3 linked regions of the Drosophila melanogaster genome follow. The protein of the gene in region 2 interacts with the protein of the main gene of each other region in a pairwise test. Each region holds a gene or a part of one and is shown on either strand. Other genes may lie near its edges.

The links.
Region 1: the proteins of CG14480 (region 2) and mRpS22 interact in a two-hybrid assay, tested with the Drosophila melanogaster proteins (one large-scale study listed by BioGRID).
Region 3: the proteins of CG14480 (region 2) and REG interact in a two-hybrid assay, tested with the Drosophila melanogaster proteins (one large-scale study listed by BioGRID).

The regions. Positions count from the first base shown.
Region 1 is NT_033777.3:27,915,277-27,918,893, forward strand, and holds mRpS22 (mitochondrial ribosomal protein S22), read left to right. Parts: upstream 1-1,631; 5' UTR 1,632-1,725; coding exon 1,726-2,907; 3' UTR 2,908-2,972; downstream 2,973-3,617. Other genes in the region: CG5003 (uncharacterized protein), read right to left, coding at 1-66, 120-281, 335-457, 516-786, 872-1,152; Boh1 (buddy of Hmr 1), read right to left, coding at 2,982-3,617.
Region 2 is NT_033778.4:17,562,259-17,566,012, reverse strand, and holds CG14480 (uncharacterized protein), read right to left. Parts: upstream 1,674-3,754; 5' UTR 1,577-1,673; coding exon of another isoform or gene 1,266-1,576; 5' UTR 1,106-1,265; coding exon 910-1,105; intron 850-909; coding exon 689-849; intron 626-688; coding exon 233-625; 3' UTR 161-232; downstream 1-160. Other genes in the region: Ns2 (nucleostemin 2), read left to right, coding at 1-154; CG46428 (uncharacterized protein), read right to left, coding at 1,295-1,576; CG43324 (uncharacterized protein), read right to left, coding at 2,028-2,228; Klp54D (Kinesin-like protein at 54D), read right to left, coding at 2,660-2,672, 2,732-3,055, 3,475-3,754.
Region 3 is NC_004354.4:13,210,432-13,214,185, reverse strand, and holds the start of REG (proteasome regulator gamma), read right to left. Parts: upstream 1,862-3,754; 5' UTR 1,794-1,861; intron 1,737-1,793; 5' UTR 1,598-1,736; coding exon 1,228-1,597; intron 1,031-1,227; coding exon 663-1,030; 3' UTR 1-662. Other genes in the region: sno (strawberry notch), read left to right, coding at 3,084-3,086.

The sequences.
Region 1 (3,617 bases), on a different chromosome or scaffold from region 2:
ATTCTCGATAGCGCTAAAACACTGCAGATCTGAGTTGTTGATGGGCGTCTGGCGAAGATCTAGTGACTGAAATAAATAACCCTTTATAAAGAATATTCGCCGATTGCACCTATGCCAACCTCTAGTTTTTGGAAACCGAAACGTGCCGCCATGCTGCCATAGGGCACAAACTTGCATAGCGCCTGACAGCCCTTAAGACTAAGACGCCGCAAGGAAGGTAACTTCGACAGGCCCATAATATAATAGGGCTCGAACCAGCTGTTGTCCTCAATACTGAGATCCTAAATAAGACGGGGTTAGGCTATTCATTGGACTGTCGTTCGCTCAAACTCACCTCTAGATCAAGCAGATGCAGCTCTATGGAGTAAAATATGCTTTTTGGCGTGTCGCCGACCCTAACGCTACAGTCCTTTAGCTTCAGACGCCTCAGAGTGGCCGGGAACTCAGTTATGTGTATCTGAAGAAAAGATAAAATTGGGGTAGACCAGGGAAACTTGCGAGATGCCAGCACTCACGTATTCGAAGTCCAGGCTGACGCCCTCCAGCTCCAGCACTTTAAGCTGTACAACCCTGGGGAAAACGGAGCTTAGCGTTTGGGTGAACTGGCGGAATTCGCCTGCAACATGCTGCGAGGACGGAGGTCCGCAGATTTTAATGGTGTGTGTCTTTTCGGTGGCTCGTCCAAGAATCTCTTCTAGGATGCCCATAGGCAGGGGCCCGTTGCTTAAGTCTATGTGATGATAGAAGCGGTGATCCAGCAGGAGGTTTTCAAAGCGCGGCGAGCAACTGGAATATTACGGAATGTTATAATATGGAAAGGACATGGAAATCTCAGCGACGCAGAGATCTTTGTTGATAGCGGACTACTTACTGCATCACCGCCAGAATGGAGGACGTGTCCAGGTACTGGAAGATCTCGAAGAGCAGCTCATCACAGAAGTCCATGAGGTTGCACTCCGTTTCCCGGTCGAGGGATTCCTTATGCTCCTTCTCCCTTTTGCGCTGTTTTATCTCCGGCTCCTCCTCGGTAGGGATTTGTGGCAGCACTGGCTGCACGGGCACGGCGGCCAGCTCCCGCCCACAACGTTCGTTGTCCGGGAAGCGGCGCTTAGGCGCTGCAAGGCACGTACTGCCCAATTCGGCCTGTTCCATGCTTGGGCTGCTCCTGCACTTTATTGCCAATTTTCGCCAGCAGCTTTTTTTCCAGCTAAATGCAATTGGTCAAGTGTGACCGCAGTCAGATCCCGAGATAAGCCGCTAGTAGGGGTATTCCTATGTCGAAGAGATGAAACTGGCTTCCGAATTTCCCGGTAATTTTTAATGTCGTTTTTATTATTATATTATTTTTTTTCTTGATTATTACGATTTGATACTAAAGGCGGTGGCACTAGCTGCTCATAGTTATACAATTGAGTCGTCTGGTAAAATGGGAACAATAACAAGTAGTTAATAATCGTTTAATTCTTATGTAGATAATAAAGTTGCCTATTTTGCTATTTTCCTATTTCAAACAAATATTGCATATTATGAATGAAATTTAAAAATAAGGCGCATTACGCATGTGCATGTGCATTAAAAAAGTTATTATACAAATAGAATAAACACATTAAATTAAATAAGATTCCTGTTGTCATTACTAGCAAGCAGTGTTGGAAAACACCGTGCTGCCCTCACTAATTTCTACACCCGTCTCGTGTATTTTTGTGCCTGATTTACTGACTGAAAATGCACCTGCTGCGGAGCCTGCGCCAGCTGAATGGCCTCCAAGGAGTGCGCCAAGCTATCCGGCAGGTGTCCTCGGCGCCCACCAAGCCCGCCGCCCTGCAGTACGAGCGCGATCCGCAGCCGCTTTTCACGGATGCCGAAACCCAGCGGCTGCTCCAGTCCATGACGCAACTGAACTTGGACAAGGTGTATCGGAAGCGCACGGTGCCGGACAACAGCAGCGAAACGAAGTTCATGAGCAACGAGCAGCTGGACAACGAGTTCCAGAACTTGGTGGTGCGGGCTCAGCAAATTCTGCAAATGCCACCCATTGTGCAGATCAAAAAAGATGTGGAGCGGGTGATAGCCAAGGATACGGCGCTGAAGGACTTCGCCAACTCCAAGTTCGTATTCACGGACATCACCTTCGGCCGACGGCAGTCGGAACGCAAGGTAATCGTCCGGGATATGGACGGAACCTTGGCCTACGCCACTCTTGATACCACGAAGCGCATGAACCAGTTGTATTTCCCGCTGGAGGGTCGCCAGTCATATACTCCACGAATGTTCGCGCTGGAGGAGCTGCTGGCCAAGTGCTTGGCGGAGCACAAGTACGAGTTCATCCTGGATCGACTCTTGGTGCAGTACGAGCCACATGAGCCGGAGTTCCACAACATTTCAGCGCGTGTGTTCGAGCATCTCAACGAGTCCAAGGAGTTCGATCTTCTGCGCTCCACCCGCCACTTTGGACCCATGGCCTTCTTCTACGCTTGGCACCGCTGCATCGACGACCTGCTGTATGACATGATCCGTCGGGATTATCTGCACAATGCCGTGGAGCTGATTGCTCTGAGCTACAAGCTACACAACATCCCAGTGGAGTATCAGGCAACGCTGACCGAACTGGGCAAACTGCATGCCACGCCGGCGGAAAGTGCCCTGGCGGAGCTAAGAAGCGTCTTCCGACGACATGACAATAAGCAGAACATTGAGCAGGAGATCCATACGGCCATTGGCAAGACGGAGCACGATTTCGCCGCCGATGAGATCAGCCTGAAGTTCATTGAGCAGTACATCGCCAGCGAACATGCGCTGAAGAAGGTGCAACTGGAGCTGGCGGTGCAGACGCTTAAGGAAGTTAACCGGGAGAAACTGATGCTGTTCCAGGGACTGAAAAAGGCTCACGGCGTCCAGGCTTCGTAGGATCTATTCGCTTTATTGTTATCGATTTCTATGTACTAATAAATACCAGCTAGGTCAAGATTTCTATACGCTGTTCATAGCTCCTTCTTGAGGACCCTGGACAGCCGTCTAAAATGGCCAAGGATGCACTGTCTCCGGTGCCGCAGGCATACCCGCTCGCTGCTGAAACGCTTCAAGCAAACTGAGCAACGTCTGGGATCACCTCTTCCATTGGGCAACCCGTTGTGTTCGCGAAATAGGACGACCACTTTCGCCTTGGCACAACTCTGTTCTTTTTTTCGGTGTACCAAAAGAGAGGTGGTGGTCTTGAAGTAACGTTTGCACTGAAGACATCTGTAGCACTTCCTGCCGCTATGGTTTCTCAGGTGCCTGAGCAACTGCATCTCTGAGTGGCTCATGGCGTTGCAGAGTAGATGTGGGCATTTAAAGAGCATCGATGACTTCCTGGGCGCTAGAGCGGGACAGCTCAGACTGTGTTGCTTCAATTGTTTCTGGTGGTCCAGACGCTGACCACAGCGAAAGCACAGAGCACCAGGTCCATAGTGCGCGGTCATGTGGCTCTGGTGCTCCAGCAAGGTTTTGGCCACATCGCCGCACACCGCGCACTCCATCATGCCGTTGGGAAATATGAATGTGTTCTCGCTCACGTAGGTGAGAAATTTGTCGGAATTGGAGGCCTCAGAACCGGTATCCTTTGGCCGTTCCTCTGG
Region 2 (3,754 bases):
CGACGATGGACCCAGCACTTCAAAGGCTCCTCGGTTGACTGCAAAGCAAAAACGCTCCCTGGAGCGCAGTCAGAAACGCAAGAAGATTGGCAGCAACTTTTACGAGACGACAAATGTTAAGAATCGCAATAGAAACAAAAAGAAGGACGCGTAAAATATTACGTTTACACTCTAGGCTATATTTTCTTGCAAGGAAAAACTACACTTTAAGAATCCAAATAAAAAGTTGATCCTACTCTGAGCACTGCTTCTTCTTGGGAATTTTGCGGCCACATAAGTCGGTTCGGCTGCACATACTGGGTTCCTCCTCATCGGTGCTGGCCTCCGAGTCACTAGACTCCGTGTAGGAGCCGATGCCCGGAAGTATAGCGATGCACTTTAGGGCCCCCTGGTTGTATTTGTTTGTAATTAATGTGGTGTTCGTTGTCTTATCAGCAGGGTCCTTGGTTGCTTCATTTGTCGCTGTCTGTTCGACCTCATTCTCAGTGATTTTGGCTACTTTACTGGTGGTGGGCAGTTCGCCGTTTTTTCTCTTGATGCCCTGGCCGAGCAGCGTCTTCTGAGTGCTACGCCCGACCGAAGCTCCCGCGGACTTCGCTGTGGTTTTTAGTTCAGCTTGCAGTTTCTGAGGGTTGCGGAAGTTCGGGTGATTGTAAAATCAATTGATTGTTGCTGTAACTTTACCCACCTTGTCTACACTCTCCTCCTGCAGCTTTTCCACACGATTGCGAAAATCCTTTAGTTCTAGCTCCTCGTCGCGCATTTGCTGGCGCTCCGCGTGTATTTTATGGGCATCGACCAATTCCAGAAACTGCACCTCATCATCGTCCAGACCACGGATGAGGTTTTCTATACGTATATTACGCATGTTAGGATGGCCAGATTGCATTGTTTATGGCATAGTCTTACTCAGCTTGTGGGCTTCCTCGAACTCCATGTCCTTCTTGTCCTTATTTTGTTTGAGGCGTTCATAAAGTGAGCGCCCATCGTAGGGTTCCTCAGGTCGTTCTAGTGGATCCTCCGGCTGGCGTACACGCTCCCATTCCTCCTGACGTCTCTGCCTTTGCTCGGTCGCCTCAGCTTCAGTCACAAAGCCCGAACTCATGCTGTACTTTCGTAAAATTGCTCTTTTTTACAGACCACAACTATTGCCAGTGTGGTGAACGTCGAATTAGCAGCTGTGCGATGATATAGAAGTGTTGGTAGTGGCTCGTGAAAATTTGAACTAGTGGCGGGAATTGCTAATGCTTCTGTGTCATTTTAAGTTAAACGTTGAAAAACTTTCCAAGTCCCACTAAAATGAACTATCCTTATAAACTCTTTTAATATGACAGCGCCTTACTCTACCAACTGGAACACTGGGGCGACCACGGGCCCTAAGCCTGGCTCGATTTATTTCGGCTATCTGCACAAAAACTGATTTTTGGGCGGTTGTCATTTCTCGCCATTTTCTGCCGGCTATTTTGGCCAAGGAAATCGGTTTCAGATGGCAAATGTCCCGCTTTTGAAGATTAATCCGAAAGTGGTCAAAGAAAATAAAGTAGGGATTAGCGGATGGGAACTTGCTTGGTCGCATTGTCCATGGTAAAGGCGAGACACTCATCCGGAACATTCTGAAATTTTGAAAATTCTTCCTCAGGTAAATCGAAACAAATACCCTTCACATGAAAATCACTGGTTACATGACTTTATTTCAGGAATATCTCAATAGGAAACATCTATATAGGATGGGGCTTTGCTAAATTCTCCAATAAAGAGCTACAGGATTAGCAAAATACACGATATTCATACACACATATGCAGGCGTTTTAGGTGAAGACGGTTTCTCGTATTTTGTTTATACATCCATAAATTCTCGGTTCGTCCGTTTCCAATGTATATACTTAGTTTATAGACATAATTGAGGTCAGCACACTTACAACGAACAGCAAATAGGTAATACGACTGATTCTGAACTTCGCCGTGATTGAGTATACATTATAGGATAATACTGTTAGGATTGGGTCCGGATCATGATGTATCCGAATCTACAGGATGCTGCAGGAGCTTTTCTCGCGAAACGGATTCACCTTCTGTGTGAAGCCGCTGAGCAGGCAGTCTTCCTCCTCGTGCTCCAACATGTACTTCATCATCAAGGAGCATGCCACCGAGACGGGCATACGCTCCATCTCCACTTCCCGCCGTAGCTGCAAGTTGATGGAGCGCTGCTGTTGCAAATTAGCAGCCATTATGTCCAGGACGGCTGTCTCCGCGAGACCTATGGTGGTTGCTGGGATGCTAATACTGCTGTAATATTGATTTGATTCAATTTGAGTTGTGCTTATTTCGATTTCCCCAATATTGTAAGCGAGAAATATGCGCTCTACTTCTCGATGAAATATTTTATTGGGGGCGCTGAAAAATCAATATTTATAAAAAGTGTGACCGCGTTGAGAATGGTGCTTTAGTTTTCCGACTTTTGCCAGCCGTTGGTGAAAGCTTCTTGTTGGTGTGGGGAAAGATTTCACAGTTTTTGAATCTTGGAATAACTATAAGCTTTCATAAATTGTATCAATATATGTCCTATTGGCTATAGATTTTTTTTATCAATGTTTTGTACACCGTTTATTTTATTTATTGCAAAAATATATAGTTTACAACTGTTTTTATTTAAAGTTAATTATGTGAGCATGCTGGAAATAAAAATGAAATTATGAGTAAAATTAATTAGGTGATGTTTCTAAAAACTTACTCTGGCATAAACTCTGTCGACTGCTTAGCATGCGCCTCCTCCGGATTCAGGTTCAACTCCTTGGTAATGTCTGAGTCCGGTTTCCGGAATGCATTGGCCATAATCAGAATGTTCTTGGCTATTCTTTTCTGATCGATTCGCTTTTGAGCCGTATCTGTCCGTCTATTAGCGTTCTCCGACATCCGCTGCTCTATTGGTAAATCTGGTCCTGGTGGAGATTGGAGCGGTTCTGGATTTGTCCAGATCTCAGTGCCAGGTGTTTCCTTTCCTGTCGTTGGGGATATGGCCGGACGTGCTGGTATCAATGGGGAACGCACACAGACTCTGTAAAAGAATATTAATAAACATTAAATCATAATTTAATCATAGTGTTTTTACTTTGTAATGAAAAATGTAGAGAAGCTACGAGCTTCATAGGAACAAAAACAAACTTTTATTACAAATCCTTACATGACTAGTCACACTCTTGGCTTGTTTTTTTTTAACATTTACGAATACATTTTACATAAAACTGGTTAAAAAGTAGAAAACATTCGATATATGTATATAGGTAATATTTCACTCCTTATTCGGCTGGACCTTCTGGCTTGGCTCACTGTCCTCATTCCCGTTCGGATTCGACCTAGAACGAGTCAGAAATGGGAGAGAACAATGAGCCAGTCCTGGAGAAGGAATCAAAAACCAGTTCAAGACTTAAAACTATCGTTCCGACCCGAATTCAACATGCAAAGCATCCCACTTACTTATTGACATCCTCCAGCTTCTTAAGCAGGCGCTCGTTTTCTCGGCAGACTATCTCCTGATCCCTAAGAATGGTTTCCCGCACGGTGAACAGATGATTATTCTCCTGCCTCAGGGATTCGTTCTCCACCATGTATAGCTTAACAAGCTCGGCGAGTTCGGAGCCATCAAGCTCCGGTAATCGCTGCAAATCAACTTTGGGCACTGGTACTCCGCCACCGCTGCTAACTCGATCCAGTTGAAGCTCCAGAAGATTCTCAACCGGCCCACCATTTGGAGCTG
Region 3 (3,754 bases), on a different chromosome or scaffold from region 2:
ACATTTTGGCGGGCATTTTTAATTCATAGTAACGTTAAGAATTTTCTGAACTGTTAAATCAGAAGGTTGTCTTTTTCGATTGGCCGCATCGAATGCAATAATTTCCACCTTATTAAATGTCTGGGCGCCTGTTTCGATTTTGCGATAGATATCAATCCCCAAAGTAGAACCCATAGTCAATACGTAAAACAAGAAAACAAGCACAGTGTTACCTATTCGGAGCGAATTACTTATAAAGATTTATATTTCACACATTTTTAAGGACATTTTCCGTATGAGGGGCGCCCGTGTTATAAATTTACATTAGGAAATGTTGAAAAAATGTGTCAATGGAGCTCGCCTATTCTTTTTATGCATAGCTATAGCTATTAGTGGAATCTATACAGCATCGGTTTCTTGTATTGTACGCCAATCTCAACATTACATTCTAGACGTAGTACAAATGGATTAATAGTTGATGGTAGTTAGGCTACAGCTATTGTTCAATCACTGCTCTTCAATTAAAGAATTTTGATGTTTGTAAACCGAATTGGAAAATCTTAGCTTTTTGAGTAGCGACAAGAATTGCTGACCGTCCGCTCTACGGGCTGATTATTGATTGAAAAGTAAGATGATGGAAAGGAAAAAAAAAAGTTGAGGCTCGGGCTTCGGAAATACCTAGCCTAATACAGGCTTTCGGTATTTGAGGAGCGCGGCTTCTTTAGCTTCTCGAGGTTCTTAATAACAATGTCGTGCAGCGAGGAGTAGCGATTGCGGACCTCACAAACGACCAGCCACAAGCTGAGGTACTCCTTCTCGTCAAGTTCGACGACTGCGCGCCGATAATCATCGATGTGCGGATACTTGGCCACCTTGGACACCACCTTGGCGCGCGACAAGAAATAGCGCGATATCTGGTCAAAGAAGGCGGCCGCCTCGGATTCCACAGTTTGAATTTCGGCAAGCGTGTCCTCTTGAATGGAGACGCCAAAGTTGTTGCCATCCTCGATCTTGGGTATCATAAAGGAGATCCACATCTTAAGTAGATTGGCTGCAAAAGAAATCAATTCAGAAATTACTAGGTATTCATTAAAAAGCTTAATGTCAGGCAAAACTTTAGCTACTGGCATTTGTACCGTTCGAATGTAAAAATTCTTGGAATTCATTGTTTTAGGAAAATTGAAGGGGCTCTTGAATAGCATAAAAACATTTATTAGGTTGAGACGCTTGAATATACGGTGTACTTACAATCCTCCACAAGCTTCCTGATGATAGGCTTGACGACCTTGATCATCTCGCAGAGCGGCTTGTTGCACGGCACTGTACCGGCGGGCAGACCCATGACAGGCTGCCCAGAGACGATGACATCCACGCGCTGGCGCTTGGTGGGCAGACTGTCACGATCCTCCAACTCGTTTTTAACCAGGAGAGGCGGCAGGACCGGGATGTTGAGGTCCTGGTGCACTTCTTCGAAGTTGCGCTCGTTGAAGATCGGCGTGGCCAGCAGCTCGTTCAGCCGGACGATATTCTCCGGGAACCCCTTGGTGATTAGCAGCTCTGCCTTGAGGATCAACGAGTCCTTGTACTCCTGCACCTTTACCACAGTGTCGTTAGGCATTTCGTTAGCTATGTGGATTCCTTTTCGTGTCCGTGGAAGCCTTTGATCCTGAGTCCTGTCTCCTGGCGTAGTACCGGTTCTTCTCGTTCCTTATCTTCTCAATAACAATCAGCAACGCGGACCGTCTGAAATCGGCGGACTTTTAGGGACTTGTGTCGGCGGATTGCGAAATTGAAAGCGGGAAAACCAGACTTACCGACAAATTTTGATGCCCAAGCAACAACACGCATGTGGTGCTAGAGGTGGAAGAAAAAGAATAATCGATGCTTATCGATAGCGTCGAAGTTTGCAGAAATTTTGCAAATTAATACCCCACAAGTATCTTAAATATCTTGAATGTCAATATATATTTTTTCTATACTTTTTTTAGATTGAAAGTCTTCTAATTACTTTCAGTTTCATAAACAAATTAGCTGAACATTAAAGTTGGCAAAACATATTTAAATGCATTAATGTACATTGCAGTTGGCATCATTTATTTAAATGCAACAGCTGAAGCTCGCTTCTCATTTACCATGTTAAACTTGCATATACTTTGTTGTAACGTGATTAGAATTTAACGGATATATATCATGAAATATAAAGAAATAAGACGCGCGCCATTTATCGATAGTCTTGTGTGCACCGCGTGCCAGACCGATAGATTTGTTTAAATACCAAGTAAGTTTATTATGTCTCCCTTTGTGCAATTTAAAATGTTTTCATTTAAATATCTATATTTTTAAAATATTTTCCATATATATATATTATAAGTAATATTAAGCTATTAATATTTTTAGAGCAAACACGCTATAAATAAGTGTGCCCAAATATAAGTTTTAGTATACATCGGCATTCTTATCAATAATCGTCAAACTGACGTTTTCTCGCTTCACCATTATCGATTCTCATCGATGTTTTTCCAGCTCTATCTAGTTGGCATCTCGTTAGTTGCGATAGTTGGCATGTTACGTGTGTTTTCGGCTTCGTCGCTTCATTCTCGTCTCGTTCTCGTTTCCTTCCTCCTTTATTCCGATTCCTCGTTTTGCGTGTATTGCGCGGTACAACGCATACGAACAAATTTATCCGAAGCGAAATACCGCGTGCAGCAACAAAAGAAAAACACACTCAACAACAACAACACACACGCATGCACACACGCATGCAGTCATTATCGCAACACCAATAACAACAGGAAGAACAACAACAACAAAAACATTTCTAACGCGCTGAAAATTGCGGAGTCCAGCCTTTTATATTTGCTGCATTTGCTATCTAACTTGCCGCACAATTGTTCTGTTCCGTTGACAGCATCAAAAACGCATTGTTAAAAAGAAATTAATATATAAATTTTAAACAAAACACAAAAAAAAACCAAGAAAAGAACGAAAAACGCGTGGGTGCGCGGTCTGTTGATTTTTTTTTTGTGGTTAACAACAACAACAAGAACCATCGGAGGGACGAACATCAAGAACAACCACCGTTAGCAGTAAGCAGGAGAATCAAAATGGTAAGTTTAAGTTAGCTGGCTTTTTTGTTGTTGCCGTCAATAGCATGACTTAATATAAATTTCTTTGTTGCTAAATTTTGACACACTCACATTTACCCACACACACATGCATAAAACAAAAACAAAGCGGCTGCAGAAGCTGATGAAGGAGAATAATAATGAGAAGAAGGAGCAGTAGCCAACTCATTCAATAATTGTTGTTTCTCCTTTTCTTGCGCCTTTCGCTCTTTCCTCGTCCACCCATTTTGTTGTTGTTGCTGTTTTTTTTATCTGCAATTGTTTTCTTCTGTAATTTCTAAGGATGCATTTTATATCGCAGATTCGCGTGGCCTGGAACCATGTGTTTTTCTCTCCCTCTCATACTCCCTCTTAGCGCTCGCCCCTCTCTTTCGTGCACACACGCTGAGTTTAGTTTTGGCGTTTTTTCCCCCGCACACGAGTTAAACGAATTCAGTCGACAAAAGTTGCGCTAGGTTAGGGTTAAGGCCATGCGACTCAGGGGCAACATGTGGGTTAAGACCATGGGCGGGGTATGGGGCTATGGGTCTATGGTGCATCATTGAATTGAGGATGACAACTATTTTTCAGGGGGCGGCATCGTTTTGAATGTTATCAAAACTATGACCATACAATTTCTATTTCTACAAATGTAATTTAAATTATATAGT